Linked DNA regions of Alligator mississippiensis. The protein of the gene in region 1 binds, or shares a complex with, the protein of each later gene. Links are inferred from orthologs where the notes say so. Each region holds a gene or a part of one and is shown in the gene's direction. Other genes may lie near its edges. The genes, in order: YEATS2, KAT14, DR1 and TADA2A.

Region 1 (7,579 bases):
TGTCCTCAATGAGGTGTGGCGAAAGCTAATACAACATGCAGGAGATTATTGTAGATTTCATAACAGGACATTTAAATTTGCTATAGGAATGATTTAAATGGCTTCTGGCTGCTACTGTTCTGACCCCATATTGAACAAGGGGGCTGATTCAACTTACACTGGAGAAAACTGATATATTCCTATTGGCTTCATAAGGCGCGTCCAGATGAGCCCATACACGCCTCTTGACCCATCTCAAACCTGTTTGAGATGGGGCAAGAGGCACGTGCGGGAACAAGTGCAGGGAGAAAATTAGATCCTGGGGTCTAAAAAAACCAAAGTTTACAAAAGCAGGGCAGGGCATGGTCCCAGACTCTGCCCTGAGGCAACCGGAGGCTGGGTCCTCCACGGAGATGCTCTGGCTGCCAGAGCGTCTCTATGGTTTGCCCCTTGCCCTGGTGCTGAACCATGCGGCCTGCCAGACAGCGCAGCACCAGGGCTCCAATGCTGTAAGTAAGGGGTTGGGGGGGCTGGAGGAGGGGGGAGGGGACTATGGGGGGACCCCTGCTGGCCCCACCTGCTCTCTCAGCCCTCCCAGCCTTGCCTGACCTAAGCCCTCCTCCTGGATCCCCACACCAAATCCCTCCGCCCCCCCCCGGGGCCTTACTGGCAGTCCAGCTGCCGTCTTTATCGCTGGGGCCCAGCCCCCACAGCACAGGGCAGAGGAACAGCTCCAGCCGGGGCCCTCCTGCCCTGTGCTGCCCAGGAGGGCTCTGCCAGGAGGCCCCAGAGCCCCCCCAGCCCCTACTTTTCTAAGGTAAGGGGGGGGGTCTGTTTTTTTTTTTTTCTTGTTTTGTTTTTAAAGTGATGGTGCCTGGGGCTGGGGGGGACAGCCATGGGGGTGTGGGGGATGGGACTAGGCAGGGCAGCCACTGTGGGAGTCTGGGAGAGTGGGGGGTGGAGCTGTGTGGGTCAGCCATACTGTTGGGGACAGCACAGGTGCTGGCCCTGAGCTCTAGCTCCCCCTGGCTGCAAATCCAGGAGGAGCCAGGCAGGGTTATTTTGCCTTAAATGGCACAATTTGCTCCGCAACAAAGTTCATGTCCAAGCACGTATGCTGAGGCAAAAAGCCTTGGCTCAAATTTGTACTGCTTCTATTTGAGCTGCTGCAAGCACATGTGCTTGCATGTGTGGATGTGCCCATAATAGTGTAACTTGGTCTTATAATGATGGTGGGACAACAAAGCACAGGCAACACCCACTTAGTGAAACAGCGTTAAGCGGAACCCATTTCCCCATAGGATTTAATGTAAATAAAGATAATTGGTACTGCACCACCTGCCAACCCAGACCCAATGCTCCTGCAGCCCCACCCTGGGCCCCACGTTCCTGGCCAGGCCGCTCCTGGCAAGACATCATGCAGGCTCTGCTAGGGAAGGCATCAGCTCCTCCTGGCCTCATTGTTCCCCCACCGCAATGACCCCTGCCGGACCACACCTGCTGGCCACCAGTGCACCTGTGCACAGCCCCAGCTGCCCCAGCCATTGGGCCTGAGTCGGGGCTCTGGCGCAGGGTAAGCAGTGGGGCTACCCACCTGTCTGCGCCCCACTTTAACCAGCGAGGGCTCCCTCCAGGGCACCCGGCACTTGGACGAGCTGCCACCACCAGATCGCTGCAGGCTCGGGACAAGTGTATGACTGGAGATGACCAGATCGCTGCACCCCACAGGTATGACTGGAGCGGAACAGGGCACGGACTGCAGCTCGCGTGCAGGGGAGCTCTGTGGGCTTGGCTTGCACTGGCTCAAGCTCTACACTCCTGCCAGCCCTGGCCTTGGGCCCCATGCTCCTGCTGCCCTGCTGGCCCAGGCCCTGCGCTCATGTCCCCCACCCACCCTTTCTCGCTGCTGCCGCTGTTCCTCCCCGCCCGCTGGCCGGTCCAGCACCACATGCCGGAGTGGACCCTGTGCTCCTGGACCCTGCTGGCCTGGGCTCCAAGCTCACACTGCCTGGCCCCCCACCCTTCCCTTCTCGCTGCTACTGCTCCTCCCCGCTCCTGGGCTCCTGCCAGCTGCCACTCGCCTCTTCCCTCACTGCTGCCACCGCCACTACTGCTTCTCCCCATGCCCACGCTATAATGAAATTCACTCAGCGCCGAGTGTATCTAGGTAGGCATTTTAAATGAGCGCTATAACAAAACCACATTAAGCAAGGGTTGCCTGCATTCTGCTGTTCAGCTATATCAGGGGTGTCCCTGGTGCTGCCTACGGGTCTCGGTGTGACCCATAGGTGGCATGCAGGGTGAGCTGCATGGTCCTGCACATCTGCAGAGCAATAGAGCAACTACCATGTGCAACTGCCATGTGCAGCAGTTGGAGCAGGACTGGAATGTGGACTGATGTGTAGGTCTGGCATGGCCTGCAGAGTGGCCCTGCACCTCTCCTCCAGCCTGTGGGACAATGCAAGTCTAACACTCCTGAGCTACAAAGTGTCTCTCTTAAAATGTTTTATAATAGAAGCCTAAAACTTGCCATAATACCAGTGTTCGTATTGCATCAGCTTCACCATATAATTGTTTGCGATAGTCAAATCCTTTCAAAGGACTGGAACCAGTTACAACTTGCCAAGAATAATTTCTGTATTAGCAGAAGTAATCTCACCTGAAAGAGTAGTCTGTAGACCGTAAAGCAAAAATCCTTTGAAGGCATCTGGGAGCTATTCTTAAAATAAGATCACAAGATTTCAAAAGCTCCTGCTATTTCTCCTTGTTTGTTTTTCATTGATTTATAAGCAAGAATAGCAATAAAATTAAACTGAATTAAGATGTGCATACAATATTACATGGGCGATTGGTGCCTCCCGAGTCGGGGGGACCAGTGGGGCACGACCGGGGGTGGGGTCCCCCGGTGGCCAGCTCCATGCCCTCCTACCAGCCAAAGCGCTCGCTGTTGTGGGGAGGCACCAGTGCTCTCAGGGCAGGCACGTGCCCCCCTGCCCCCTCTGTCGCCTATGTAATATTATGGAGACATTATTATTGATGAATACAGTGCATGTTAAAGACTTGTATCTGCAGGCATTTATATGCGTTGTCCCCATTGGGATTGGGATTGATCATCTGAGTGTTGGCTGGAGACCAAAAGCAAATCTAAAAGCTGCATGTTTGAGTAGGGATGTTAAAGCCAATGAAAGGAGTAAGGATTTGCAAGATTGAAGTCGTAAACATGGTAAAGCAGAACCTTTCTAATGATCTTGAGCTCCAATGAAAATGAGGAAAGAAAAGTCCAGTTCAGATACCTATATTCAAATATCTTACTCAGCAAATCAATAGGACCATTGGTTGATTGAAGTGCTATTTGATGTGAGCATAGGTATTGGAGCTTGGGACTAAGTGAATAATTGAGAGAAAATAGTGACATCACATCACAAAACTGACTTTCCTGTTTTGTTTTGGACAACTGCAGCTTTAGTCTTGTGTGCTATGAACCATTATAAAGAGTAAATATGGCAAAGCACCGTATTTACTCACAAAATTAGATAATATGACCCTGAAGATAATATGACCCTGAATATAACATATAATTGTGACTCACAATAAGATGACCCTGAATATAAGATGACCCCCTGCCTCCCAATACTTAGATTCTATACAGTATATGGAAAAATTGCCTTTCCCTGCAGTCTCTGTCTTCCCCTCCTTCTCTCCCCACCTTACTGTCAGATACTGCTCAGGCTGTTCACAGGCTAGGGACTTAAGTTGCACATAAACCAGTTTAGGTGATCAAAAACTGGTTCAAACCTGTAACAGAACAAAAGCTCAGTGCATATAAACCAGCTTCAAAGTGGCTGAAACTGGTTTAAAATAAACTTGGTTGAATGTAGCATCAGACTTAACTGATTTGGGTCAAACCAGTTTATGAAACTTCTGTCCCAGACCCCTTCCTGGTTCCAAGTTAAATCACAGTACCCCCTAATGCTTTGTCACCCTGGGCTGTGCTGTGCTGTGCTGTCTGCTCCAGAAAGCAGGGCTAGCCTTGCCCCTCTATTCCCTAGCTGGAGCACTGAGGGCTGGCTGATAAGAGGGTAGGATGGCCATCATAGAGGACATTCCGGTTTTCTGCTACTCTGTCCTGTCCTCTATTGATACGAAACCCGACGCCTTTACATCCTGTCCTCTATTTTCTCTTCAAGAGAAAAATAGAGGACATACAGGTGTCTGGTTTTGTATCAAGAGAGGACAGAGGACATCTGGACTGTCTTCTATGATAGCCACCATATAAGAGGGTGGGGGGAAGCCTGGCTGGGGCTGTAGCCTAGTCTGCAGAGGGGATGGGACTGCCCCTCCCCAGGCAAGCCCCAGCTGGGGCCTGGGGCCAGAGAGGGGGATGAAATTCCCCTCCCAAGTACCTCAGAGTTACCTGGAAGCATGAAGAGGAAGTGATGAGCACCCTGCAGAGTCCTGCTGCTTTGATTTTGGACTGCAAATCCCAGAGACCTCGGGGGCAGCAGGAAAAGGAAGTGAACACACAGCCAGACAGCCATGCTCTAGTAGCTCTGGGCTTCTGGACTGAGCCACTACAAGCATGTGGCACTTCCTGAATCAAAGGTAAATGTCTGTTCACTTGTGTTTCAATTTAATATCTGAATCTTAGACTAACCTGCAAAGACTGAATCGATTCAGCCTCAGGCTTTTTGACTGTCTGTACTTAGCCATGGAGGCCACAGTGCTTGGAAGCTCAGCCCTTGCCTGGCCATGCAGTAGTACCAGTGCTGCTGATTGGCCAGGCAGGCAACACAGCAGTGCATGTGTGCTGCTGGGCAGGGGAAAGACTTTCTATGTGCCCTGTGCCTGGGAGAGACCCCAGCTGCAGCCAGAGCCCAGCTATGCCTGATAGCGGAAGGAAGGGAGTGAGGGGAGGAGAAGGGGAGTAGAGAGGAAGCGGAAGGGGGGCAGGGAGCTGCTGTGGGACTGACATAGGCTCAGGGCCAGTCGGAGCTGCAGCAGCTGCCTGCCCCCTCCCCTCCCCCTTGCTTTGTAATATAAGACAAGAGGTTTCTTTTGCATGCGGATGGGGGGGATCTTGTCATATTTGAGTAAATATGTAGTTTTTGCAAGGAAAGAATTTTTGTAATATGAGCTCGCTGGAACAATGAGGAAAATGGCTTCTGTAGCAAGCTAACAGTGCGACTTTTGCAGATTATAGTGTGTGAAATTGCAAGGTTCTACTGTTTCCTGTGTGGCTTTTTTTATGTGGTACCTTGATCACACTGCTCTTATAGTTTCATAGTTGGTAGGGTCGGAAGGGACTTGAGCAGATCATCAAGTCCGACCCCCTGCCATAGCAGGAAAGAGTACTCTTCTAAGAAGAGTGTTCATCTAGCCTCTTCTCGGTTACTATTTCTGATGCTGGAAAAAAGAAAAAAAATATTGCTTGACTGGAAACTCAAGATTATTTGACATTGCTTTGAGGTTTTTTTCTTTAATAATAATATAATTTACTTATCTGATCTTGGAGGATATTATTCTTGGTATAAAATACTTCTCTTTACCAGTCTTTTTCAAGCGTGCCCCTTTCCCATAATGGTACACCACATCCATGTGAGAAACTTTAAAATAAGGGTGTGGATATGATGCAAAACAAGCCTTCAGTTATGGGCAGCAGATCCAGATTACCTCTGGTAATTAGTAAACCGTCTGTTTATGTATTTTTGTTTCAGAAACACTGATATCAATCATAACCCAATGAAATTCCAAAATGAAAATTTCAGTGCATCTAATCTGGTGTGTACACCATGACATGAATATTTTTCCTAGCATAAACCAGAATAAATAGATGTGCTAGGAAGCTAAAAGATACAGCAGGGACACAGCTTGTGTCAGTTACTTCATATTTATAGTGTGGTGTAGTGCCTTAATCATAGATCTTGGCACTATTATGCAAGGCACAGCATAAACATGGAATAAAGAGAGCCCTGTCTCATGGGCACAGCAAATGGATATTGCTGGCATACAAGGGGCTCATAAGTAATAGAAGGAGGCTTTTCCTTTTCTGCTGAGGAGTCACAGCACTGCAGCTGTGACTGAAGAGTTTTTGCAGCAGTTTTGCAGATGTTTGTGGGAGCTCCTCCTGTCTTCAAAGTGCAGCATGGGGCAAGGGGAAAGGTATACATTTTCATTTTGTGATGAGCTTGTGGTATAGGACCATAGACTAGCTACTCTGGTCAGTTCTGGGGTACACCACCTACATTTTTTTCAGTAAATATCTTCATTCTACTGGGCAATTCCAACTCCTCCCCCTGTACAAAAAACCTTAAATAAGTTATCAACCTTATGTCAAACATACCAAGTTCCATAGGAGTCCAATCTACTGTGTTGCTGATCCTTAGAGAAAAAAATCCCCTGCTATCAGTTAACCAGCTGACCTCCATGACCTCAATCCCTCTGTTCCCCTTTCACGCTGAAACAGTCTCTCAAGACCTAAAACTCATGTTGTACATGTTTGCAGAACAAGTAAAGAAATGCTTTCTTCAGTTTCAAGGTAACCTCCAGAATAGGGAAGTGTTATTTTCTGTGGTAACTCTACTCAAAACGTGTACATTTGTGATGAACTGTAGGAGCAATAGAGGTGGGTGGTGGTACAGGGCAAAAAGTCATATGCAGGTCAGGAAAACCTCAGTATAAGCAGGCGGCCATGGACTGCTTGAAGGTAGAGCTAAGGGGAAAGAACAGCGCAAGAGGCAAAATAAGGCCTCAAAGTGTAGGAACGGAGTGGCTGAGCTGGTTTATTTTTTGGGTCTGTTTCAGACTTGAAAAGCCATGAGGCAAAATCCTGAAGAAGCAGGGCTGGAAGGTCATCTAGTCCAACCCCCTGCCTGAGGCAGGGTCATCCCTGTCCAAACCATCCCATACAACCATAATCTAAACTCTCCATCTAACCAACTGAGGTGCAACACGGACCTAATACCCTAACCTGCCACAGGTAAAGCAGGGAACCACGGCACCCTGTGTCCTACCCACCTGAAACCTCAGTATGTGCTCAGGAGCTCCCAGGTAGAGGGCTATGCTCCCGCTGCGGGGGGCACCGCGGTGGGAGCCCCGCGGCAGTAAGTGGGGAGCTCCTGCAGATGCTGCTGTAGGTGGTGAGCACTGCCCAGGGGTTGATGACCACCCACAGACACCGCTGGCAGGGGCCAGTCACGATTGCTGACCCCCTGCAGACACCACCAGCCTTTTCATAGGGGGTGCACCCATGTGCACCCCCTACTTGTGGCCACTGTGAGGAAGGAAAGCAACCCCCACCTGCCGTCCATCCCTGTCCGACCGTGGGGTCAGACTCCTGCCCGCCCCAGCTCTGACCAGTCGGGGAGGAGGGGGGGGAGGGGGCAGCAGGACGAGCCCCTCCAGCCTGGGGCCCCACAGGAGCCCTGGCACAGCCCAGGCCACGTCCCCGCCCCGGGCTGTAGCCGACACCCGGTGCCTCTGAGGGAACAGCCCGAGGGCTGCAGTGGGACTCTCCGCAGAGAGCGGAGCCTTTCCAGCGGGCATCTCCGAGGCCTTGCAGCTAAGCACAAGGGCAAGCCCTTGGCTGAACGTGCCCTGTCGT
Region 2 (8,260 bases), on another chromosome or scaffold:
GAGCCTGTAAAACCCTCCAGAGGTGGAGGGGTCAGATGAGTCTGTTGGTCAGCTAGGCGGACCTGTTTCAGGTCTTTGGGTGACCAGGGTAACATGAGCATTTTTTTAGGGGCTGATGAAAGAGTATTTTATCCCCATCGGTTTTTTGGAGATAGAACCATTTCCCATCCAGATTGTTCACACCAGTGTGCAGATAGCTGTTCTGAAGACTAGAGGCAGAATGAATGTTCTTCTGTCTCCTGTTGCAGATGTATAACCCACGGGCTTTTTCTTCCATAACAATCTGTTTATAATCCTTTGTATTTTCAAGGCTCTATTCAGAAATTTCTTTCTGTAAGGAAGAGCTGAGATTCTTCTTTACAAATCCAGGGTCTGATAGCCTCAGGCTTCATGGCACCCACGTATTTGCTTCTGCTGGGGGACAGAAACCTTGGGAGGAGGCTGAAAGAGCTGAGTGCAAGGTGGAAGGGGGCAGGGCTTGGGAGATGGTTTAGGTATGAGCAGGACCTCATTGGGAATGGATAGAACCTCCAAAGATTCAAACAGATGTCCTAATGTTAGGGGAAGAGCAAAATCTTACATAGCCATATATCCGTTTCTGCCCCAGCTCCCATACTGTGCAGGATATTTAAAACTAGCCTCTCAAACCCAGATCCTCTGAGAGTGATGTCTGGTGCGTTGTCAGTGCCCAAATTTAACTAAATCAATTCAGTTTAGCCACTGCAAACCCTAAATATGGATGCTCTTGTGTTTAGTGAGGTCTGGTTTATATCCATTTACATTAATCAACTTCTAGCCTTAATAAATTAAGTTAGTAAAAGCCAGTTATAATTTCAGTTTGTATATATTTAAATGAATGAATTAAAAAAAAATGGTGCAAGTTCCTGTGTAAAGAGAAGGCCCAAATCTGTATGCACATACTCCAAATCAACTAGTGATATTTGGTAGCTCTTAGTGACAAATGATAAAAACTACCATATTTACTCAAATGCAAGACAACTTCAGATTTAAGACAGCCCCCTTACCCCTCCCCCCCAAATAATTAGCATCTGGGCATGGAGAATTATAAATTTGTTATAACTTTCCATGTATAATATATAATTATTGGAGGGTTGTCTTACACTTGCCTCCGACTCTAGCCTCTAGCTTATGCCACCAGAGCTGGTGTTGCACTAGCCACCTGTGCCGAGGAAGTACTCAAATCCTAGATAAGCCTTTTTTTCCCCCATGTTGAATGGGGCAAAGACTTGATTTGAATAAATGTGGTATATACTTTCAGAGCTCTGAAATTAATGAACTTGCAGTCTGATAGATTCTAATCATCTGAATTCTGTGGGATAAAGCAGGAAGCAAACATGTTTCTAGCCTCAGTTGTTCACTTGTTCTATAATCTCCATACCTTTTCTAGATTTTGATTAGCTAATTCTATTAAAGTAATTAGTTTGCCAGGTCTACCATTAAATAGTAGTAAGTTGTAACTTGTATTAACTTGATTGAAACTCATGGGAAAGCACCTTTGTCATCAGATTAATTGCCAGAGAGGTTTTGAGAAAAGTGGATAAAATATTCCTAGCCTTTGTATTTCTTTTAAATTAAAGTACTTTTTGCATAAAGTATTTTTTTTTCTTGATAATTTTCATGGAAAAAATATTTTCCTGTGAAATGTATAATTAGGTGGATTCTGGATGAAAAATAAAAACTTTCTTTTAGAAGTGATTAAATAATACATTTTTTGATAACTTGATGACTTTATAGTTAGATTTCAAATAAGTGATTTACCTATTTTTAGCATTAATTAGCTCTGTATGGGATTAGACAATATTTCTGAAATAAATTGTTCAACATTTTTTGTCATTTCGTTAAATAATTTGTCATGCTTTTTTCTCCCTTGTGTTCAGCCAACCAGTTTAAGTACATACGAATGCATTTGGATCCTGATCAGGCAAAACCTGGATCCCAAGCACATCAGCATTCATAAAAGTTAGTACAGTGTTTCTCAGTCAGGGCACCCTGTGGGTGCTGTGAAATCCTTTTCAGGGCATCATGGAGTGCTGCACAGTATTAGCACTGTTAGGTGTGTGGATACCTCCCTGCAGTACCCAGAGATTTCAAATAAGAATCCATGGTGTCAACAACATTCTGACCTGCTGAGGTCTGAGTTCTTTGCAGCAGAGTAATTGATTCTTATTTTTCCATAGTTCACAAGCTGAGTGAAAGCTAAGAGCCGGCGTTTTCCAAGGGGCGCCTTGAGTATACCGAGATTGAGAACTGCCGCGTTAATACATTCGGCAGGGGTGTAAGCCTTTCTTCAGATTAAGACTTTAGTAGGAGCAAAACATGACCATTATTATGCAGCAGGATCCATGTGGAGGCCAGTATTGACTTTTCTACTGTTGTTTTATATGTTTCTTTCATCAAATACAATATTGTAATATTGTAGTAAGTTTGCTTGAAATCTGTTCATTTACAAAAGGGTTGGTGTCAGTGTCAGATATTACATCTGCTGCTCAATGCCTCCACCATGTTTTATGGTTTTGTAGTTTTATTTTCTTAGTTTAAATATGCCTTTCTCTCCCTTATTGTGGTACAAACACACACGAGCAACAGGAGACACTCACAAAGACTCCAATTCAGCCTTCAGATCTATCCTTATAGATCCAGCATCTGGGTTGAGGCCTGATTGACCATGTGTAGCGAAAACGGTGACACTAACTGTGCACAAAGTGCAGTGAACTGTGAAGGTGGATCCCCACTGAGGTTGCGTAGGAGGCTCTACTAGGGTGTGAGGGACTCTGCTCAAATTTCGCCATAGGGTTAGGACCACAGTGTTGTCAAATGCACAAAGTAACCAAGCCAAAGGAAACTCTTCTCTTTCAAGACTAGTAATCTTGCTTAATTTTTACAAAGACAGCCACTGTGTAGTCTGTGTTAATGTCTGATTAATTTTAATAAGTATTGTTAGAGAAATGACCCGTGTTATTTTTTCAAGACCTTACAATAAGCACATTCTGGGTCACCAACAAAATCAGAGGAGACGTTAGATTCAGGTGTCTTAAGGGTAAGAAACAAGCAGGAAGCAACCATTTCAGTCTGTGTTTTGTACATCACAAAGAAGTGGAAGATGGCACAAGTCCTCTTAAAATCCTTCCAGGTCACCACCAAGTTCTACTCAAGCAAAGGAGCACAAAGAGAGAAATTTGGGACAGAGTTTAATTTTGGTAAAGGCAGGGAGTAGAAGTCACGATCTTCTATAGAGTAAGGGCTCTTCCTGTAATGCTAAAGATCAGGGATTGGCAATGAGTGGCTAGAGCCAGAGGATCTGGCCTGCAGAAATAGTGGGTTTTGCCTTGGCCCGTGGCAGCCAGGAGGTGCATTACAGTTGGTCAGCTGGAAGCTGTGTCCATCTTGTGGCCACTTCTCCCAGCCCCCCGTAGCTGCAGTATGGGTGCCACTTCCAGTCAGTGTGTAGCTGAGCTGGAGTTGTGCAGTTTTCAGCTGCTCAGCTCCCCTACCTCAGTTTCCACTGACTGGAAGCTGTGCTTGTGCTGCAGCTGGGGAGAGGTGGAAGGAGGGGGATGGAGCTGTGATGGTACACACATCTCCCAGCTGTCTGGCCCTGGCACAGTTCCCCATCAGCTGGAAGCTGCGCTTGTGCCCCAGCCAGGGCTAGGGACTAGAGAAGCAGCAGCAGTGCCTGCCGCCCTACCTCACCCCACTTGCTGATTCTCTGCCAAAACCACCTGGTCTGCCCCAGACTGGAGCTGGGTTGTTCTGGCCCCCAACTTACAAAGATTTCTGACCCCTGCTGTAAAACAGCGATTCTAAACTAGGGTGCCACAATATATTTTAAGAGTGCCATGGGGGTGTCACACTATGTCAGCACTATTAGATATGCAAACATCTACACATGATTCACAAGATAAACCCAAAGTTTTCAAATAGGGATCTATAGTGTCAACAGCATGGTGACCTGTTGTGGTCTGTCTGAGTTCTTTGCAATAAAAAATTGCTTTTTTTTTTCCCATAGTTAAGAGATGAGTGAAAACTAAGAGTGTTTTCCCAGGAGTGCCTTGAATCTAATGAGGGGTGTCCTGAGTTTAAAAAAAGGTTGAGAACCACTGCTGCAGGAATTATCCATATACAATGTTGATAGTTGCTCACCAGGTTCCCCTCATTAAAACCATACAGCTAAGTCAACAGAGAGTGGTTTTGGCCCCTTACCAGCAGCTTATCAACATCTACCTCTCAGATCCTATATTTAGGTACAACTCAAGTCACTGAGGGAGAACTAAAGATTTGCAACTGTTAAGTGATTATCCATCCTGCAACAGGGATTGGAGTACAAATGGAGATTAATCACATATAGCACAGGCTGCATTGCGATGAGCCATGTTTTGTGTTTTCAGAGACTGCGTGAAGGTGTACTCAGAGACCTCGAGAGGCAAAGTCGCAAACAAGAGAACATTCGCCTTTTAGAAGATCAGATTATTTTGACCAAGCATCTGGAAGCAGAAAGAGACAGGCAGGCTCTGGACAGAGGACCCCAGCAATCCTAGATGTAGAACGGGAGTATTAGTTTTCACTGAAGACACGCGGAAGAGATTGCGCCTGCTTGTGCCTTGGTGTTTCCATATACGCAGGTTGTCGCTGAAAGTCCATCTCTTCTAGATTAATTTTAATCCCACACAGAAAATTACAGGCATTAGTAAATGCAAACAGAAGGTCCTTCTGGCTTCAGTATCTTCATGTGTGCGGGGGACTTGGCTGGCTTATCCAATGTGGCTGATACTTTAAACATTGGGAGGGGGGGCACCTGGTAATGTAAACTATCCTCTTTTTCTCCCTGTGAAGAAGGGATGGATGGTAATGTTCACATGAGTGGGCTAATGAGCCGTCATGATGATGAAGCCACAAGGACATCCACCTCTGAAGGTCTGGAGGAAGGTGAGGTGGAAGGGGAGACTCTCCTTATTGTTGAGTCTGAGGATCAGGCCTCTGTGGATTTATCCCACGATCAAAGCGGGGACTCTTTGAACAGTGATGAAGGGGATGCATCCTGGATGGAGGAGTTGTCCTACTACTGTGAGAAGTGTCAGAAGTGGATACCAGCAAGTAAGTAACAATGCCTTTCCTTTGTTTCCTTGATCACTTTCTTTTTGTGTGTTTGCTTCTGCAGGTGTGTGTGTGTGAAATATTCTATATTCTTTTCTTGGACAGAGCACTGGACTGGACCTTGAGAGACCTGGGTCCTCTTTGCATCTCTGCCTCTGGCCTGTTGAGTAATGCTGGGCGAGTCACTTTATCTCTTCATTCCTCAGTTTCCTCTTCTGTAAAATGCAGATAATGAGTCTGATCTCCTTTTATAAAGCACTTTCAGACCCACTGATGAAAAGTGTTATATAAAAGAGAGTTGTTGTTGTTATTATTTTTATTTTCCTGGTTGATTTGTTGTTTGTATGAGAGGTATGGGTAACTCTCAACTGGTATGTATAAGAAATATTCCTTTATACTCTGCACTTAGTTTTGCATTTACAGAAGAGTATAAAGTCCTTTAGAAGCATTTTGGGCTAACCAGATTAAATTAATTCTCTGGTATCTCTGTTTAACATAATAGAAATGAGTTTAGGTTTCTCCCTGTACTAGTACAATAGCTGTTACTGTCCAAAATCTAAGCACTGCTCCATTTGTGGGAGCAGAAAACAAACCCTTCAATCTGGGTCTGCGCCTTTCAACTACTTTGGCTAGCCATCTTGCTAAAAATCTGCCAAAACCCTTGGAGGGAAATCCCATCCCCAGGGAAGTGGAGGGGAGTCTTGCCATAAACTTTTAATGGAGCCAGGATTTCTCTGTTGGTGTTCAGTAGCAAATGGCTAAAGGGACACAGTCAACTTAAAATTAAGTCTGTAAAAAAACAATAAATTAAAAGTAGCATTTGGTGGTCCCTCTGACTCTTGAGTCCTGCTGCTGCTTTTTTTATTTTACAGTCCAGTTTTCCATTCTTCCCACCCTCAATCTTTGTTGTTTGCATAAAAGATACAAACAGCAAGGGAAACTGGCCACAGAGTGAATGTGATCAGACACAAGTGTGCAGAAATAGAAATGTTTTTCTCTGATGTCTTTCAGTGACAGTGATCCTAGCTGTGACTTACACCACATAAAAGTATGTTCAGAGATGGATTCCTTTTGGCAATTTTGCTAGTATGACAAATAGCTTTGCCTAGCAAGAGCTAATGTTTCATTAACATTATTATTAGTCTTTCACTAATACATTGTGAATTGCTGTAGTGGGGTCAACAATGTAGTAAAAGAGAACTAGATGATTGCGTTAAGCACTTTTAAAAATTCCAGATGTACACTGTTACTGTTCCTATTTGCTAGTGATATTTATGATTAAATTAATCATAATTCACTAGGGAGTGAATCTTACAATCCCAGGTCTTCTCATTTCCTCTTTTCCACAGTAGAGAGTCTCGTTAGCCTTAGAAGGCTAAGATTTTTTGGATTGACTCTCTTCCATCAAGGCCTTTTGTTAAGTCACACATATTTAAGGTCAGCAAAAGGTCTTAAGCGCTGAGATGCTTTCCTGAGTTAGGATCTAGAAGAATAAATCTTAGTCAAGAACAGCTATTTCCTGGTATCATCTTCTATTTCCAGCTGGATGCAGCGTTCCCCTGTCATAGTGCCAAAGAAAGAATAATCCCATAATATGGGTAAATAGATACCTTAAGGTCTTACGGTAAGTCTACCTCTGTGGGTCTCTGACTGCAGAAAGAACAGCTTCACATGCAGTGAATGCGTGGACAGTGAAAGGAGCTAGAGGGTTACTTAGCAGTGGAAAGATGGCAAATGAGGAAAGACGTGTATATTCACAGACCAGGTTATAGTGGCATCTTTCACAGGGTTGCCTTTTTGACTACCTGTCGCCTTTATGAAAACCCTGGGGAACTGTGGGGAGGGGGTAAAAAAAGGCAGAGGAAATAACAGGGTCTAGCTAAGTCTAGCAAAGTTTTTGATGTTTTAAATGTATTTGAATGCTAGGTAGAAGACCCTACTTTAATGCATGTATTTCTGTATTGGTTCCTGCTGGTTTCTGTAACTGTACAATGAATCTATACTTTAAGCATCACACACAGTTTCTGAACTTTTCATGAGTACTCAGGGTTGCTGAACTGCAGCTCAGGAGAAACGTGTTCCTGTAGGGTGTTGTGGGGAATCTATATCTACTTTTCAATGCTTTTCCTCAAAAAAAACTGAGGCATGGGTCTTTTCCTTATTCATTTTAGGTCAGTTGAGAGAACAACTCAGTTACCTCAAGGGAGATAACTTTTTCAGGTTTACTTGCTCTGATTGCTCAGAAGATGGGAAAGAACAGTTTGAACGACTGAGACTGACATGGCAGCAAGTAAGTAAAAGTCATCTTTGTAGTAGAAGAACAATAAGACCTTCAAAACTTGTTGTTTAAACTGTACACACAAGTCCTAGACATTAGGAGGTCAGATATAGGAGGCTAAGAAATGTACCCAGGAGCTTCCAAAGTGAGTTTTCTGAGGATTGTTAATTATCGACTTGATATTTTGTGAGTAGATCAGAAAGATCGTCACAAGACCCAAACTGCTCACTACTCAGTACCACTACATGCCAGTTTGGAAAAGCAAAGAAAATGTAATTTTTGCTGTTGGCTTTTTGGGCAAAGCAAATGCCACCAAGAGGGTGATGTTTGAACAAAAAGCGTGCTAGCTCACTGGAAGCAAAAGCTTATTGGCTGTCCATGGCTGTAGTAAGTTCTGGTATAGCAGTACACTTAGCTGTCATCTTTGTGGGATTTACTATTTTAGTTACTTCTATACTTGCATTAGTCAAGTAATCTCTGATTTATGTAACAGTAAGTTTGATAGTCATAGTGATGCCTCTTAGAAGGGATTCCTTGTATGATATAGAGTTTAGGTTTGGATTTCATAGCTTTAGGCTGGCTGTGCTTGAAATAAAGAACTCTGATATCTTAATGAAAATCACAGCTCTGAAGGTTTTCTTCACCTTTAGCTTTAAGCAAATTTGGGCTATTTACTCAGTTCTCATAGGACTGAGTCAGGCTGATGTATACCCAGTGTGCATAACTGCTGGAGTGCTTCTCTGCTCTTCTGATTTGGGGAGGGGAAGGGAAGGAGTGAGCCAGTTCAGCAGCTGTGATTAGGAGCTTGTGTTACAAAGCAGACCTTCTGAGCGCAGTTACCTCTGGATCAAAAATAATCACTGTCATGTG
Region 3 (7,557 bases), on another chromosome or scaffold:
ATAATTCTTACAGAAAATCCACCCTTTCGCCATCAGACCAACACCTTGTATACCCCAGTAACAACTCTGAAATATGCTGATCCAAACGGAAATCTACCTATTGATAGCTTCTACAAAATGGTTTTTCATCATGACAGAATCTTCCATGCAAGTCTTAACTTTTTCAAACTGCTGAGATGGAGCAGTAGAAAGAACATTGCATCTATTTAGTTGATATATCAACATTGGCTTATTTTGAATTTAAAGTTCCCAGACCAGTATTTTGAAGATAAATGCTCTTGCCAGATCTGTTGTTAATAATTTTGGTTATCTTCTTTATGTACAGTTGTGCCTCGTAAAAATATTAGACTTATGACTATCAATATTTTGAATGTCTGTAGTCAACATTTATTGGAATTAAAAGTGAAACCTCCTGAGAGCAGTACAAAAAAATCTTATTTGTAGAACCTTATTGTAATATATAAGTGCTTTGCTAATAGTCTCAGGGGTTTAGGTTGTAGCCGTGTTGGTCTAAGGACATAGGCAGACAAGGTTCCTTGGGTGAATTTGGTATCTTTTATTAGACCAACCCAAATAGTTGGAGAATATTTATTAAGCAAGCTTTCGGATTCAAAAACTCTTCGTCAGGCTAAGGAAGTTTCAGCAGTTGGTGTGTGCTCTTCCTAGTGATTCTTGAATCACCTACTACCACCTAGCTCTCTAATACTGTATTTTAGAGTGTTAGAACAAGCTTGTTGTTAATAATATAAAAGATGTACAGATTTTTAAAATTGTCTTAAAATATAGTAACTGGAAAGTTTAAACAACTGATGTGTGTTTTAGTTTTTGTATAAATAAAAGAACATTGAATGTGTTATTTTTTTAAATGATGCTGCTACTCCTAAAGGGTCAAATTCAGCTTTGATATAATTTAGTAGGAGTCAGTGCAATTATCACAGAAATTAATTTGACCCAAGAAGCTTAAACACAATGCTTTGTGTATTTATAATCACTTTTTTATAATATCTTATGGTTATTTCCTTTTTTTATTAGGAATACATCAATATAATGAAGATTTTCCAAGCTGGCACCTAAAACTGGAGACTCTTAAAAATCCATATTTAGTTTTCTAGATAAATGCATTTAGATTTTCAAAAGCGCTGAATACATGCATCTCCCACTGACTTAATTGGGAACTTAAGTTGTTCTCTGTATTTGAAAACAAGACTCTTTTTACCTAGGTGTTTAAATATAGGTTTAGCAACCTACAGTTTCAGGCACCCAGATTTGAAAATGCTGGTCCTCAGCTGTCCTACATTTACTGCTATATTTGAATACCTGTAGTAGTCTGTTAAATTATGCCAGTTCCACTGACTAGTTCTGACACATCCTTGGGTTCCGCATACAAAGTCAGGTTTTCTTGTTTTATTTTTACACCTTGGCTACATTGTTAGTTTTTGAAAGGCGATATTTAGAATCTAAAGCATGTTCCTCAACAAACTGGAATTTTGAAGTTGGGTAAATTTTAAAAGTAATTTCCTATAGAGTGCTCTCTTAGACTTCCATAAAATTCAGCTTCCTGTACAAACTCCTACCATTTGCTTTTATGTGATTGGGCTCTTGTGGATTAACAGTGGTGGTGATTCTCTTTTGATTTTTCCCCAGCTATCACTGATCAAGGAGTCTTGCAGAAGAGACTCCTGGCCCTGGGCCTTATGTGATAGCGAGGGGCCAGTTTTCTGGCCTCTTAAATACAATGTCCTGGGTTCCAGATGCTGCTGTATCATGGGCAGTAACCACTGTCGAGTCTCACAGGGCAAACACTTGGCCTCAGGCTCTATATAGTACAGGCTATAGGCCTGCTGTTGGCGGGCTGTAAATTCAAGTCTCTTCTCTGTGGTGCCTTGCCTGGATGAAGTGCTGTCCCATCTGTGACCGTGACTTTCTTTTCTGCCCACCTGAACAGAGTGGGATCCATCTCCCAAATCTGCCTGACTGCTGCCACAGCAGGAATGCACCACGTTGTAGGGCCTGGTTTGCAGCCACAAGCCTCCTCAGAGGTGTGGGGGCCACAAGCCAGGCTTCCCCTTGCCCCCCCATTTGGGGTCTCTTCAAACTATAAGGGTGGAATGCTGTATTATTGGAGGAGTCTAAAATTATTCTGTGAGTTGCCTAGATGGTGCCTTGTGGCTGGGGCTTGGTTTGCTCCCCTGGGATCTTACCAGTCCAAGTGGATGTGCTGGGAGGTCCTAGCAAAGATCCATAGACGTGGCATACCAAATTGCTTGTTGATCACCCAAGCACAGAGTCCTGAGTTCAGCTCAACTGTGTTCCTTTCTCCTCCCCCTCTCCCTCTTTCCTGGCCAGTAGGGTTTTTTTTCCTTTAATTTGAATTTTCCCCAGTCCCTTGAGTTATCACTAGTCAAGGAGACGCCTAGTCCTGGGCTTGCTGGCTTCCTGACCACAAGGTCCTGAGTTGTGGATTCCACTGTGACTTGACCATACTAGGCACCTTAAAACTAGCATGTCCATGGCACGTTGGCTTCTTCAACCTGGCTGACAACCCATCTGGGAGAAGGAAAATTCCCAAAATTCAGTCTCACTCCCTGGCACACAATATCTGTTGATTGGTGATAATGTCCCCATTTAAAATTGTGACCATTGTCACAGACCAAATTAAATATAGCTCCAAATCTGGATCAGATGCGAGAGATATTGACATATTCCCAAGCATCTTGCAGTTATCCTTTAGAAGAGGAAGAGATCAAGCCTGTGCAGTAGGCCCCACAGCTGCAGTTAAAAAAGCAAGTGGAAGAGTGAGTAATGAGAACTGGTACAATAAATGCTGAAAGCATTGCAGGCAGGAGAGAAATAGTAAACCTCTTGGAAATAAGGAATGGGCAAGCAGGTTGATTATAATAAACACAAGGGAAGGATAGTAGTGTAAGAGAACAAGGAGCAGGATATAGGATCTTCTCTAATGCAGAAGAGAGTTGGAGTAATATTGCATGGCAGCCTTAAAGGCAGTGTGACTGAGTTCCCAAGTGACAGATTGATGGCAGCTAAGTTTGTGATGCCGGAAGGAATGTTGAACATATGCGCAAAACAAGGGGGCTGCAGAGAAGAAGAGAAAAAGGCTGCAAGAGTGCCTCTAGAATCCAATAAGAGCAATGAGAAACTGGATGTGAATGGACGTTAGAAAAAGAAATGAAGGGTTTAAAGTAATGTTGGAGGAATGAGTAGGGAGTGAGGAACAAGGATGGAGAGAAGATACTGGAAATGGCTGAAAACTTGAATATGTTCATTGCTAATACTGCATACGTGTGCTAATTGTCACTTACACAAATGGTCAGAACAAAAGTCAAATTGTTCTGGTCTTGGGAGCAGGTATAAGATGTGCAAAACAGATTCCCTAAAAGTATACTGGTGTGGTGCTGCTCATGGGAAATGCACTAAAGTAAATAACGTCACTTTGTCGACAACGCTCCCATTCTCGATCTCTCAATTACATGCAACAGAAATCTAGAAGTTTGTCATAGTGAAAGTCATAGCCAACAAATGTTTCAGCTTTATGCTTTTTTAAAATACAGTGCAAACTGTTTGCCAAAAATGCCTTTAAGTTGGAACAAACACTCATAGCATCAGTTTACTGAAAAGGTTTTCTAAAAGGTAAGTTCCCCAGGGAAATTCCTGAGAGTAGTGCCTAGAAAGCTAGGTTCAGTGTGGTCCTGGTAGGAAAATACTGTATTCCTTGATATCATGCATCTAAAAACTGGGGCAGCTAACAGTACTGTTTACGGCCGGGGCATCCAAGTCCCTGGGCTACGAGGCTCTTTCCAGGCAGGAGCCACAGGGCCAGCAGCAGCTACAGCAGGTCCAAGGGCAGCAGCAGCAGAACAAGCAGGGTTGTTAGCACAGCTCTCCGCACCCTCCCACCTGCGGTGGCCATGTCCAGCCCCGGGCAGGGCCCTGCCGGCTACCCTGGCTGCCACCAGGTCCTTTGAAGGGTGCGCGGACAGGCGATGGGTGAAGACGAGCATTTGCGGCCAGCTCAGGCTCGTTCCCGCCTGGACGAGGCCCCACCCTGCAGGGCCCAGAGGCCAGCGGGGGCTGCTCGGAGTCAGCGGCGCCGAGCTGTGCCGCAGGCCCCGTCGCTGCGCCCGGGGGCGGGGGGGTTTGGCGGGCGGGACCCGGGACGGAGCCGAGCGCCCGAGGAGCTTCCTGCTACGCGGCGCCCGCTCCCGCCACCCGCTGCTCCCAGCCGCTCCGCGGAGCCTCACAGCCCGACCCCGAGCCCAGCGGGCGGGGGCTGCCCCCACTTCCGGGCCGCGGCACAGGGGATCCCGGAAGCGGAAGTAGCCGTGTCCGGCTTCCGGCGGAAGTGGCGCTCTCGCAGGCTGTGCCCCGCGTTATCGCGTTTCCCTCTCGCGGCCGCTCTCAGCTCGGGGTGTCGCCGCCGCCAGCTGAGCCGAGCGCGGGCTCTTCTGCCGCCGTCTGCCCCGGGCCCTGGTCATAAGGCGGCGGCGGCGGCCGGCATGGCCCGAGCGCCCGGCGGTGGTGCGTGAAGGATGTGGTGGCGGCAGCAGCTGCGGGAGCCCTGAGCGCGCCCGGCCCCCGGGCGGCCGGTCGGTCCCGGAGCCGCGAGCGCCCCGCGCTGGATGTGAGGAGCGAGCTGCCGCGGGGTCGGAGCGCGGGAGCGAGCGAGCGAGCATGGCTTCGTCGTCCGGCAACGACGACGACCTGACTATCCCCCGGGCCGCCATCAACAAGATGATCAAGGAAACTCTCCCCAACGTGCGCGTGGCCAACGACGCCCGCGAGCTGGTGGTGAACTGCTGCACCGAGTTCATCCACCTCATCTCCTCGGAGGCCAACGAGATCTGCAACAAGTCGGAGAAGAAAACCATTTCCCCTGAGCATGTCATCCAAGGTGGGCGCCCGTGGCTTCGCTCCCGCGGGGGCCAGGGTGGGGCAGGCTGCCGGGAAGCAGAGGTCTCGTTACTCTGCCCTGCAGAGGCGGTGGGGCTGAGGTGACAGATATAGAAGCCGTGGCAGTCCAAAGTCAAATAGAAGCCGGGCAGGTCCGCACCTTCTAGACCAGTGGCTTTCAACCTTTTTCATACCAGGACCCATTTGTAAACATCCGTGGCCAGTCCTACTCTGGACCTGCTCTCACCAGCCCCCCTGTGTGTGGGGCAGGGGGTCCCCAAAGCAGCCCCTGGAGCTCTGCCAGCCTGCAAGGGAAGAGCCCCCCTTCCCCATGTTTTTCTCGCTTAAAGGAGAATCCATTTTTAAAGTTTGTTTCTAGCTGTTTCACATGTTCTTGCGACCCGCAGGTTGAGAAATGCTGTTCTAGGCCAGCCAAAGAGGACAGATACATATAGCAGTCCAAGCTTTCAGGAGCTGAAGCTTGCCCTCCCTCCGGGGCTGATGAAACCATAGTGGGGATTTCTCCCTTCCAGGCTCTGTTTTGTGTCTCGCTTCCTGGAATGCCTGGGCCAGGTGCCGAATCCTCCTGTATGCATGAGGTGAAGATGATCTTGGCCAGCAGCCATGCAGGCTGCTGCTCCCCCATCTTCCTCACAATGATTTGAGATCCAGTAATTGGTCTGAGGTTGCATCAGAAATGGGGGACAGGGGGATGACGCAGGGTTTTCAGTGAGGTCCAGGTCTTTCATTTCTGGATGAGAGTCCAGTCTAAGTGATGTAGTGAGGAGGGTTCTGGGATTCTGACCAAGCTGTCCTTGGACCAGCTTGGCAATTTCTGTATTAATTTCTGGTGTAGTAAGTGTGTCAATTAGAAATGTGCCCTTGTGTTCTCTGACATTTGGTTCCTACCCCATGTGGCTGCTGAAAATGAGTTTTTCTAGGATCATTTGTCCTCTTTTGACTACTTCCATAGCTGCTACATGCTCTCCTGTCTTCAAGGATGATGCTAATTAGGGTGGCTGTTTCGTAAATTACCACAAGTTTTGACAGTTTCATTACTGCCCACAGAGATATGAGGAGTAATAGTGAAAGTGAGTAGAGTTTTAGTTTTACTCTGCTACTGCTTGACAAAATTGTGAATGGCAGCAGCATAACCAGAGTGTTATCTCCAAGTCCAGAAAGACAACCAAACCATGCATTTGTAGCAGTTCCTTTTGAAAGCTGATTTATGAAGTATTAATGAATAATTGAAATAATCTAGATTATGATGGTTTTTACCAACTCAAGTCACTGAAAAGCTTTCCGTTTGCAATTTTTAAATGGATTTTTCACGTCCAAATTATGGTGAGCAGGTGAATTAAACTTTGTTGCAATAAACAAATCTTTGAAACTATACTTTGTGGTAGCATTGCCTGGAACTTGGACTCTAGAAAGTAAAACTCATACTTAGAATGTGTGTGATACTTCTTGTATGCTTTTGTGCTGATACATATAGTTGCCTCAAGTAGTCAACAAAGGGACCAGCACCATTTTTAAACTAGGAATAGTAGTGAGGATTAAGAAGCAAGACCAAGTGAAATCGGGAAATTGAATTGGGAAAGGCTGAAGAGTGGGTAAGATTGATCCTGTGGACAGATTTAATTTAAAATCATACTAATTAGTTTACCTTTTGTGCACAGTGATTATTTTTGGTAGGAAGTATATTCAAGGGGTTTGTATGAGGTTGGATACTAAAGTGAAGTGATGCACACAAGCATGTCTGTAAAGTATTGTCCCTGGTGTTTTATTTCATTTTATTTTTTTAAATAAAAAAAAACTTTAATTCCCAACTATCACACTTAGGGCCTGTTAAATATGGTAAGGAGGGTTTTATTGCCATAGAATTTCATATTATTCTTATTTTCCTTTTTTTGTTGTCCTTATTTACTCTTCAGAAGTGCGGGTGATGGTGGTAGTTTCACCTGTTCCTCCCATCCCTGAATCAGAAGGGTTTATGTCATTAAAGAAAATAATGTAACTTTTCTATAAGTGGCATATAATTACAGTATTTTCTGTTCCCCATAATTAAAGTGTTTGGGTTTTTTGTTTCTTCTGCCTTACATTGAGTTTTCTACAATAACTGACAACATTATTTGAAATTTTAGAAAGGTCTGATCAATTTTTTGTAAAACAAAACAACCCCCTGCCACCCCACCCAAAAAAACCAAACCCTGTTTTTATCTTATGGTACTGATGTGCTCCAGTAATTCTGGCATGTCTTCACATTCTGTTTGGATTTACTGCTTAAACCAATTTACTTGATACTGTAAAGAGGCTTGACTACCCTTATTTTGAGGCTCAGCCCTTCTGTTCTTTTAAAGAAGATGCCATGTTTGCTTTCCCCCCTAGTTCTAATATAGTAGCTAATTTTAATGAGAACCTGCATTACTGCTGCTGTTAGTAGCAGTTCAGTCTCTTTCACATCTCTCAAATCCATTAAACAGCAGTTGTAAAGTTTTCCTTCTGAATTTTATCACTGTTCTAGCACCACTTGTGAGACGCTCTAACTTCTTCCAGCTTAATTTGTCAAAAGAGATGATCTGTGGTAGGTCTACCTTTTCTTGCAGTAAACACTGGTGCACAGAAATCATCTGAGGTCTCAGCAAGGTC
Region 4 (8,362 bases), on another chromosome or scaffold:
AGCAGTGACCATGGGATGATTGAGTTCAGGATCCCGAGGAAAGGAAGGAAGGAGACCAGCAGAGTAAGGACCCTGGGCTTCAGAAGAGCAGACTTCGACTCAAAAAACTCATGAGCAGGATCCCCTAGGAAGCCAGTCTGAGGAGAGGAGTCCAAGAGAGCTGGCTGCACTTTAAACAAGTCTTACCGAGAGTGCAGGAACAAACCACCCCAAGGAAGACGAGCAAATACAGCAGAAGACCAGCTTGGCTTAGCAGGGAACTCTTCTGTAAACTAAATCACAAAAAGGAAGCTTATAAGAAGTGGAAACTTGGACAAATAACTAGGGAGGAGTATAAAAGCATTGCTCAGGCATGCAGGAATGAAGTCAGGAAGGCCAAAGTGCAATTGGAGTTGCAGCTAGCAAGGGAAATGAAGGGTAACAAGAAGGGTTTCTACAAGTATGTTGGTAGCAAGAGGAGGATCAGGGAAGGTGCTGAATGGGGGAGGCAACCTTGTGACAGAGGATGCAGAAAATGCTGAAGTGCTCAGTGCCTGTTTCACCCCAGTCTTCACAGGCAAGGTCAGCTCCTAGATTACTGCACTGGGCAGCAGTTTGGGGAGGAAGTGAGCAGCCCACAACGGTGAAAGAACAGTTGAGGGACTAGTTAGAACAGCTGGACACACACAAGTCCATGGGGCCAGATGGGATGCACCTAAGGGTGCTGAGGGATTTGGCTGATGTGATTGCAGAGCCGCTGGCCATCATCTTTGAAAACTTACGATGATCAGGAGAGGTCCCGGATGACTGGAAAAGGGCAAACGTAGTGCACATATTTAAGAAAGGGAAAAAGGATCCAGGGAACTACAGAATGGTCAGCCTTACCTCAGTCCTTGGAAAAAATCACAAAGCAGACCCTCAAGGAATTCATCTCAAAGCACATGGAGGAGAAAAATGTATTAGGAACAGTCAGCATGGATTCACCAAGGGCAAGTCATGCCTGACCAACCTGATTGCCTTCTACCATGAGATGACTGGACCTGTGGATGCGGGGAGACCAGTGGATGTGATATACTTTGATTTCAGCAAGGCTTTTGATATAGTTTCCCACAACATTCTCATAGGCAAGGTAAGGAAGTACAAACTGGATGAACGGACTGTAAGGTGGATAGAAAACTGGCTGGAGCATCAGGCTTGGAGGGTAGTAATCAATGGCTCATGTCTAGCTGACAGCTGGTATCAAGTGGAGAGGTCCTGGGGCTGGTTTTGTTCAATATCTTCATCAACAACCTGGAAGATGGCATACAGTGTACCCTCGGCAAGTCTCCAGATGACAACAAGCTGGGGGGAGTCATAGATACACTGGAGGGTAGGGCTAGGATTCAGAGAGTCCTAGACAAATTGGAGGACTGGGCCAAAAGAAATCTCATGAGGTTCAATAAGGACAAGTGCAAAGTCCTGCACTTAGGAGGGAACAATCCCACGCACTGGTGCAGGCTGGGGCTGACTGGCTGGGCAGCAGCTCTGCAGAAAAGGACCTGAGGGTTACAGTGGGCAACAAGCTGAATATAAGCCAACAGTGTGCTCTTGTTGCCAAAACTAATGGCATACTGGGCTGCACTGGTAGGAGTGTTGCCAGCAGGTCAAGGGAAGTGATTATTCCCCTCTCTTCAGCACCAGTGAGACCACATCTGGAGTACTGTGTTCAGTTTTGGCCCCCCACTACAGAAAGGATGTGGACAAATTGGAGAATCCTGTGGACGGAAACAAGAATGGTTCGGGGGCTAGGCGATATGACTTATGAGCAGAGGCTGAGGGAACTTGGCTTATTTAGTCTGCAGAAGAGACGACTGAGAGGGGATTTAATAGCAGCCTTCAGCTACCTGAAGGAGGGTTCAAAAGAGGATGGAGCTGGACTGTTCTCAGTGGTGGCAGATGACAGAACAAGGAGCAATGGTCTCAAGTTGCAGCAAGTGAAGTTTAGGTTAGATATTAGGAAGAATTTTCTCACTAGGAGGGTAGTAAAACACTGGAACAAGTTACCCAGCAAAGTTGCGGACTCTCCATCCTTGGAGGTTTTTAAGACCTGGCTAGACAAAGCCCTGGCTGGGATGATCTAGTGAAGAATGGTCCTGCTTTGAGCAGGGGGTTGGACTAGATGTGACCTCCTGAGGCCCCTTCCAATCCCAATTTTCTATGATTCTATCTAGTTCTGGTGAAGCAAAATTAAACGCTACTCCCAAGATTTCTAGCCCAATGTTAAAGCCCCAAATGGTTCAGGATCAGGAATGAGCCTGAACAGGGACACAGGACCTAAGCCTCCCCCAGCCTCTACTTAACGCTGTGGAGGTGCTGAACCACATCTCAGTGTCTGAGCTTGGGCCAGCCACCATCTGTGCAAAGGCTCCAAACTGAATCTCTGATCACTGGCAGGTTACATATCTCTACCAAGAGCTTCAAGTTTCACAAATGAACTGCCAAAGGCGACATCCGCCTGTTCTGGAGATCAGCTCTCAAGTTCTCATGCAAATTTGCATACATGAATATAATAAGTAGCCTTCTGGTCTCACAGCGAACAACGGGACATTTCCTCCAAGGGATCTAGACTCTGTCCACCTAAATCAGCATCGCACAGCCTCTCAGGGTATACAAACAACATTTCAAACAAAATTAACATCACAACAGAAGCAGCAAAAACACATTACAGTCGAACAAACAGCAACAACTGTTTTGGGGGGAGATTATGGTTGCTTGGGGGGAGGGGGTTGGAAGAAGGCAATTAATTAATACTGGGTTATAATATCCAAGTTGTGGGTGATTAGGTCATGACCAGACCAGGTGTTCCACAGGGGTGGATTTTTCTACAATGTGTGTATGGGAAAGCAATGATGTACAACAGCATCATAGATGCATGCCTATAAAAAAAAAAAATCCACCTTAATCTCTGGAGCAGGACTTTGATACCAAACATAACATGTTCTGGTTCAATTGGTCTGGCACACAGAAGAGAAACAGACCTCAACGAAAACTTGTAGCTGAGCCTTCCCTGACCAACAGTTTTATGCAAAGCAAGATTCCCTCTGTTCAGGTATCTGCCCTCATTCTCCTAGCAGCAGATAAGCAAATGCAAAGAGGACTAGAGTGCAACACAGCAGGAAGGAACAGGGTAAGGTCACTGGACGGGGAAATATGGACAGGGAAGGAGCAGAGATACTAAAACAAAAAGTGAACCCGGATTCAGGAGGCCGAACAGCTGATCTCACCAATAAGGAAACTTCTGGAAGCTTACTTAAGGGCTCCTAGCGAGGAAGGGAGAATGAACTCCTCCTTGGTATAGCTACGTTGAGATCAGTGATGTCACGCCAGTGAACGCGCCCGAAAATAGAGATGAGCTGCAAGTGAATTGGTATTACACAAACTAAACCATATACCCAGGAAAATATATTACAAGCGCACTAAACACTTACAGAGGAAGACTCCATCGGAGCTAACAGGAGATAAAAACACGACACGAAGAACTTGTGGACCATGTGAGAGAAACTGTCTGATCAGGCTCCCAATCTGGTAAGGGAACACCTGCAGACTCTCTCAACCCAAACGGGGCTCGTATCCCAGCTCCATCTGGGGTGTGGTCTTTTCAGTTTATTCGGCCGAAGATCCCCTGTCCTCGTAAGGGCAGAGAGACCCCGACTGCAACTCAACACATAGATTTATAAACTTTGGTTACATAAGCCTTTCCCATAACACATGCACAAAACTCAGCAGAAAATTACTAAAATGGCATGACTTTGCTCACCCCACATGGTTGGGCCCAATCACCTTGCTTGCCCGCCTAGAATGACAGACTAGTGGCAATCTTAGTTCAAGGTTGCATCAGCCAGCATTGATCAACGGTCATACAAAGGTCACATTAATTTTCCAACATTTTCTAACAACCAGCAGGCCAAAGAAGCAGCAAATGCAGCAGGCGAGATGGGCAGAGAGGAACATCAACATGATCTAACATCTCCCCCTCCCACCTTCCTCCAAGGTTTTGGATCAAATCCGCCCTTTGGTGCAATAGGTGATTTTGATGGCCCCTTCAGTTTGGGTTGGGGCTGCGGCCCTGAACAGGTGCATGCAGACCAGTGAGTGGGAACTAGAGCCTTTCTGATTTGGGCTGAAACCTTCCACTTTCACATCACCCTGCATCTCATCTCATTCCTCACATCCCTCCTTACCTTCTCTTCTTCCTAACAAAGCGGTGTCTCGCCCTGTGCCGCACCCCTTCGCCTGCACCAAGACACGCTCCCAGCAGTCTTCCACAGCTCCTCCGCAGATTGCTTCTCACGTGGTCCTGGCAGAGCGCGTCCCGAACGTGCACCTGTGTCTGGGATATTTGCAGGGGTGTATTTGGTAGGTCTGTTGGTCTGAGACAAAAAGAAATGCAAAACTCTAGGGCACTTGGTCCAGAGATGATAGCTTTTATTAGACCAACTAAGAAATCACAAAAAAAACCACCCAAACAAACTTTTTTCCTGGGATATTTGTAGGGATTGGCGATTATTTTGCTACCAAATTGTCCATGATTGTTGTTACAGCGGGGAACAACTCCTCATCCTTCCAGCTGCACCAGGACACAGTCCTGCATGGTAGGTGAGGCTGTTTGGGCGGGAAGGGGTGTTTTGAAAAGGATCTTTTAAATGTATTTTAATTTTTTCATTGAAACAAAATGTTGTTTCCATTTTACAGGGGTGCAGGTTGTAGCCCTGCTGGTCTAAGGACAGGGGCAGGCACGGTTCTTTGGGTGAACGTGGTCTCTTTTATTAGACCAACTTACAGTTGGAAAAAAAAATTCTTAGCAAGTTAAAATATTTCCATTTCATACCCCACATATTCAAGCGGCTCCCCCCTTCTCCTCCCTTTCACACTTTGGCCCAGCCTCCACATTGAACAACCCCATTCCCCACCCAGAAGAGGAGCCCAGTAGCCACGTGCGTGGCGCAACACGCATGCGCACGCTGCACTACGGACTCTCCCTTCCCCACGTGGATGCTGCGCCACGCATGCGCACGCCGGCCAACCCCTGCAGGTGCGCATGCGGACACCGCCCCGGCTGGCCTTCACCCCTCGCGCATGCGCATATCCCGGCCGCTGGTGGCAGGGTAAGGAAGGGGGGGCGGGAGCAGCTCGCGCGGCCGAAGCACGTGGGGGGGAGGGGGGAGCGCCCGGTGGAGAAGCGGCGGCGGGAGCGACCACGTGAGCGCGGCGGCGGGGGGGTGGGAACGGGACATACCAAGAGGGTGGAAAACAACCGGGGAGCACGGGTGGGCCGGCTCGGGGCAAGTGGCTTCCTCCCCTGTTGTCTCAGTTGCCCCGTCTGTGAAATGGGTTTATTGACTAGATGCACGTAAAGCGCTGAGAGCCTAAATTGAAATGATTTGTCTTTTTTGGACAGGAATAATTGGCTGGGCCGCCTCATCAAAGCCCGCCCGCTCCTGCACCTACGAGGACCGCGCGCCGGAAAGAAACGCCGGTTGACGTTTTTGTTCGCGCCGACTGCAAATAAACCGCGGGAAGACGCAGACCCGATCTAACGCCCCGAAGGAGGGGAGTTGCAGTTTGGCGGGCAAAAATTACGGGCGCGTTATATCGAGATTTTTGACGCTGCGACCCGCGTCGGCGATCGCAACCATTACTGGGCCCCATCCGTCTTCTCCGCGCCCAACGCCCCCTCGATCTTTAGTATTATGACTCCTGGCTTTCTGCGTTTGGTTTCAGAAAATAGACTTTCGGCCGGGGTTCCTGTTGCAGTGACCGCTGGCGGCGCTGTTGCCAGAGCGGTCCTGGCCATCTGAGGGGAAACTCATCTACACTAGGGGCTCCATAGCAGCCTAATTTATTTTGGGTAGAGGCCACCTGGCCGGGCCGAGCTCAACGGCGTGAGGACCATGGAGCGCCTGGCGTCGTTCAGCAGTAAGTACCGTGCCTGCAGGTTCAGCGTGGACAAGGCGCATCAATCACGCCGCTGTTTAGGGGAAGCTGGAGCTCGCTGAGAGGAGGAGGTCGCGTGCTGCATTTCAGCACCGAGTCCAGGGACTGACAAAGGGCTGGACCTAGTCGGTTTCACACCCTGCGAAACCGACTAGCTCCGAAACTGACCAGGTCCCGTCATTTTCCAGACTTTCGATAGCAGCCCTTTGACAGCTGCTGCTTCACTGTTTTCTTCCACCGACTGGTACGCTGTCAGCCGGAGTACGGTTACGTTACAAAAGTAGATCTCGCAGCTAAAATGTGCTTGAGTGGCTCGTTCATTTCAATGATACGCAGACAGGGCATTTGTATGCTTGTAAGTTGCTGCAGAAAGCACCCAGTGCTGCAGCGCTTGCAGATGTATAAGTGGCAAAATGCACATCAGTGGGAAGAAAGTGGCAGTGGTGTGGTTTTGAATTAAAACACCTCTGAAGTGCTTTAGTTCAAAAGCACACCGCTGCCATTTTCTCTGCGCTGACACGCATTTTGCTGCTTACACAACTGCATGTGGCACAGCGCATTGCGCGTCGGCTCCCACGCGGGGCAGACTCGATTAATCGAGTCTGTTCTGAAGCGGCAGGTCTTTGGCACATCCGAGAACTAAAAAAATATGTGTATACCAGTGTTTGTTCTAGTGGAAGCAAAAAAAATTAAGACCTGCTTCATATTAGGCAGCAAAGAGAATTATGCATTTATCCAGTATGCATGTAAGTAGAGTTGACTGCAAACATGTGAACTCTTTCCCTGCAAAAATAATTCATTTAAAAATGGAATATAAACTGAGAATCTAGAAGAGTGGAGACACACTTTCTATAACCATAGGAAATACCTTGAGGGACCCTGAAAGGTCATCTAGTCCGTTCACTTGCTATTCCCAGGCAGGACCAGCTGTCTATAAACATATACCTGCATTTTAAAACTGAGACTAGCCATTTTGAATAACAGTATAAACCACAGTTGCATACTTGTGTTGCACTGGATTTCTTTCAGCATGTTTTCTTGCTGGTTTTGTAGATGACCCATTTGATAAGCCCCCTTGCCGAGGCTGCTCTTCATACCTCACAGAACCGTACATCAAATGTGCCGAATGCGGCCCTCCTCCTTTTCTCCTGTGTTTGCAGGTAAGCTGATGGTAAAAAGTGAAAACGTATGCTTTCTTGAGAAGGTTATCAAGACAATTTCTGGTGTTAACCCACTGCATTACTATTGGGCTCATATCATCTCAAGTGCACCTCAGAAATGTTTGCTCAGGGACCAGGAGAAATGTTAAAGGCTGGAGGGAAAAAAACAAAAAATTTAACATGAGCAGATGAAGGAAATCCTTGAGTAGGCAGCAAAGGACAAACCAGGAGACACGGGCTGCTGACCCATGTAGATAGCTGAACCATCATTTGTCCTATCGCCTATCATGTCTCGGGGTTTATCTTACCACTGAGCTTCCTTTAAAAGTTGGAGTACATAGCTATGAGCCACCCTTAGTATAAAATAAAAATGCTGATCAATTAAATGCATTTGCGTGAGAGAGTTCAGTTCATGGAAGAAAACATGACATGTTTGGAGCTTTGGGTAAACAACAGCTAACGTCTTTTCAGTAAAGCCTAAGAAGATTCAGAAATGAAGCTGGGGGCTTTTGACTGCACCAGTGATCTTTTAGTTCTCTTGTAGGCAAAGTTCATTCATCTCAAGATACAGTTGTACATACTACATGAGCAGGTTAAATTTCTTTTCTGTCTTTGTTTACGCATGCCTGCATATTTGCGTGTGAGTGCATGCATGCATGTGTGTTTCCTTTAACGAAAGGGAAAAACTTTTTTCTTTCATTAAGTTGCTCCATATAATGACCACCTATAAGTTTTATAAGGGGTGTTCACCAGGATCTGGGGGAAGATTTGTTCACCAGAGTGTCCCAAGGGATGACAAGGTCAAACGGTTATAAAATCGTGCAAGACTGTTTCAGGCTGGACATAAGAAAGAATTTCTTTACTGTCCAAGTCCCCAAGATCTGGAATAGCCTGCCATCTGAGGTGGTTCAAGCACCTACTTTGAATGCCTTCAAGAGAAATTTGGATGTTTATCTTGCTGGGCTCCTATGACCCCAGCTGACTTCCTGCCCCTTGGACAGGGGGCTGGACTCGATGATCTTCCGAGGTCCCTTCCAGCCCTAATGTCTATGAAATCTATGAAAACTTTCTAGGCTCTGTCTGAGGAGTGTGCCAGGAATAGATGGCTCCTCATATCTGCCTGATTTAAGTGCCACGATACATTGCAAAACACAATTACAAGTATTTCCTGGTGCTGAAGGTCAGTACGATACAGAATAAGTTTCAGAATTAGTTTAACTTTGATGTTCATCATTTTTAAAAACTAAATC

The links.
Region 2: YEATS2 (region 1) and KAT14 share a complex: the UniProt entries of both Homo sapiens proteins name them as parts of the ADA2A-containing complex. The link is inferred for Alligator mississippiensis from reciprocal best matches to the Homo sapiens genes YEATS2 and KAT14.
Region 3: YEATS2 (region 1) and DR1 share a complex: the UniProt entries of both Homo sapiens proteins name them as parts of the ADA2A-containing complex. The link is inferred for Alligator mississippiensis from reciprocal best matches to the Homo sapiens genes YEATS2 and DR1.
Region 4: YEATS2 (region 1) and TADA2A share a complex: the UniProt entries of both Homo sapiens proteins name them as parts of the ADA2A-containing complex. The link is inferred for Alligator mississippiensis from reciprocal best matches to the Homo sapiens genes YEATS2 and TADA2A.

What each region holds. Positions count from the first base shown.
Region 1 is NC_081830.1:41,937,723-41,945,301, forward strand, and holds the start of YEATS2 (YEATS domain-containing protein 2), read left to right. Parts: upstream 1-4,519; 5' UTR 4,520-4,581; intron 4,582-7,579. UniProt on the Homo sapiens protein: Chromatin reader component of the ATAC complex, a complex with histone acetyltransferase activity on histones H3 and H4. YEATS2 specifically recognizes and binds histone H3 crotonylated at 'Lys-27' (H3K27cr).
Region 2 is NC_081824.1:231,120,150-231,128,409, reverse strand, and holds the start of KAT14 (cysteine-rich protein 2-binding protein), read left to right. Parts: upstream 1-4,856; coding exon 4,857-5,112; intron 5,113-7,283; coding exon 7,284-7,402; intron 7,403-8,260. Other genes in the region: protein PET117 homolog, mitochondrial, read left to right, coding at 4,407-4,556. UniProt on the Homo sapiens protein: Component of the ATAC complex, a complex with histone acetyltransferase activity on histones H3 and H4. May function as a scaffold for the ATAC complex to promote ATAC complex stability. Has also weak histone acetyltransferase activity toward histone H4.
Region 3 is NC_081828.1:33,511,612-33,519,168, forward strand, and holds the start of DR1 (protein Dr1), read left to right. Parts: upstream 1-4,354; 5' UTR 4,355-4,689; coding exon 4,690-4,909; intron 4,910-7,557. Other genes in the region: retinol dehydrogenase 8-like, read left to right, coding at 1-210. UniProt on the Homo sapiens protein: The association of the DR1/DRAP1 heterodimer with TBP results in a functional repression of both activated and basal transcription of class II genes.
Region 4 is NC_081837.1:5,728,837-5,737,198, forward strand, and holds the start of TADA2A (transcriptional adapter 2-alpha), read left to right. Parts: upstream 1-5,040; 5' UTR 5,041-5,123; intron 5,124-5,154; exon of another isoform or gene 5,155-5,217; intron 5,218-5,416; 5' UTR 5,417-5,909; coding exon 5,910-5,934; intron 5,935-7,005; coding exon 7,006-7,112; intron 7,113-8,362. UniProt on the Homo sapiens protein: Component of the ATAC complex, a complex with histone acetyltransferase activity on histones H3 and H4. Required for the function of some acidic activation domains, which activate transcription from a distant site. Binds double-stranded DNA.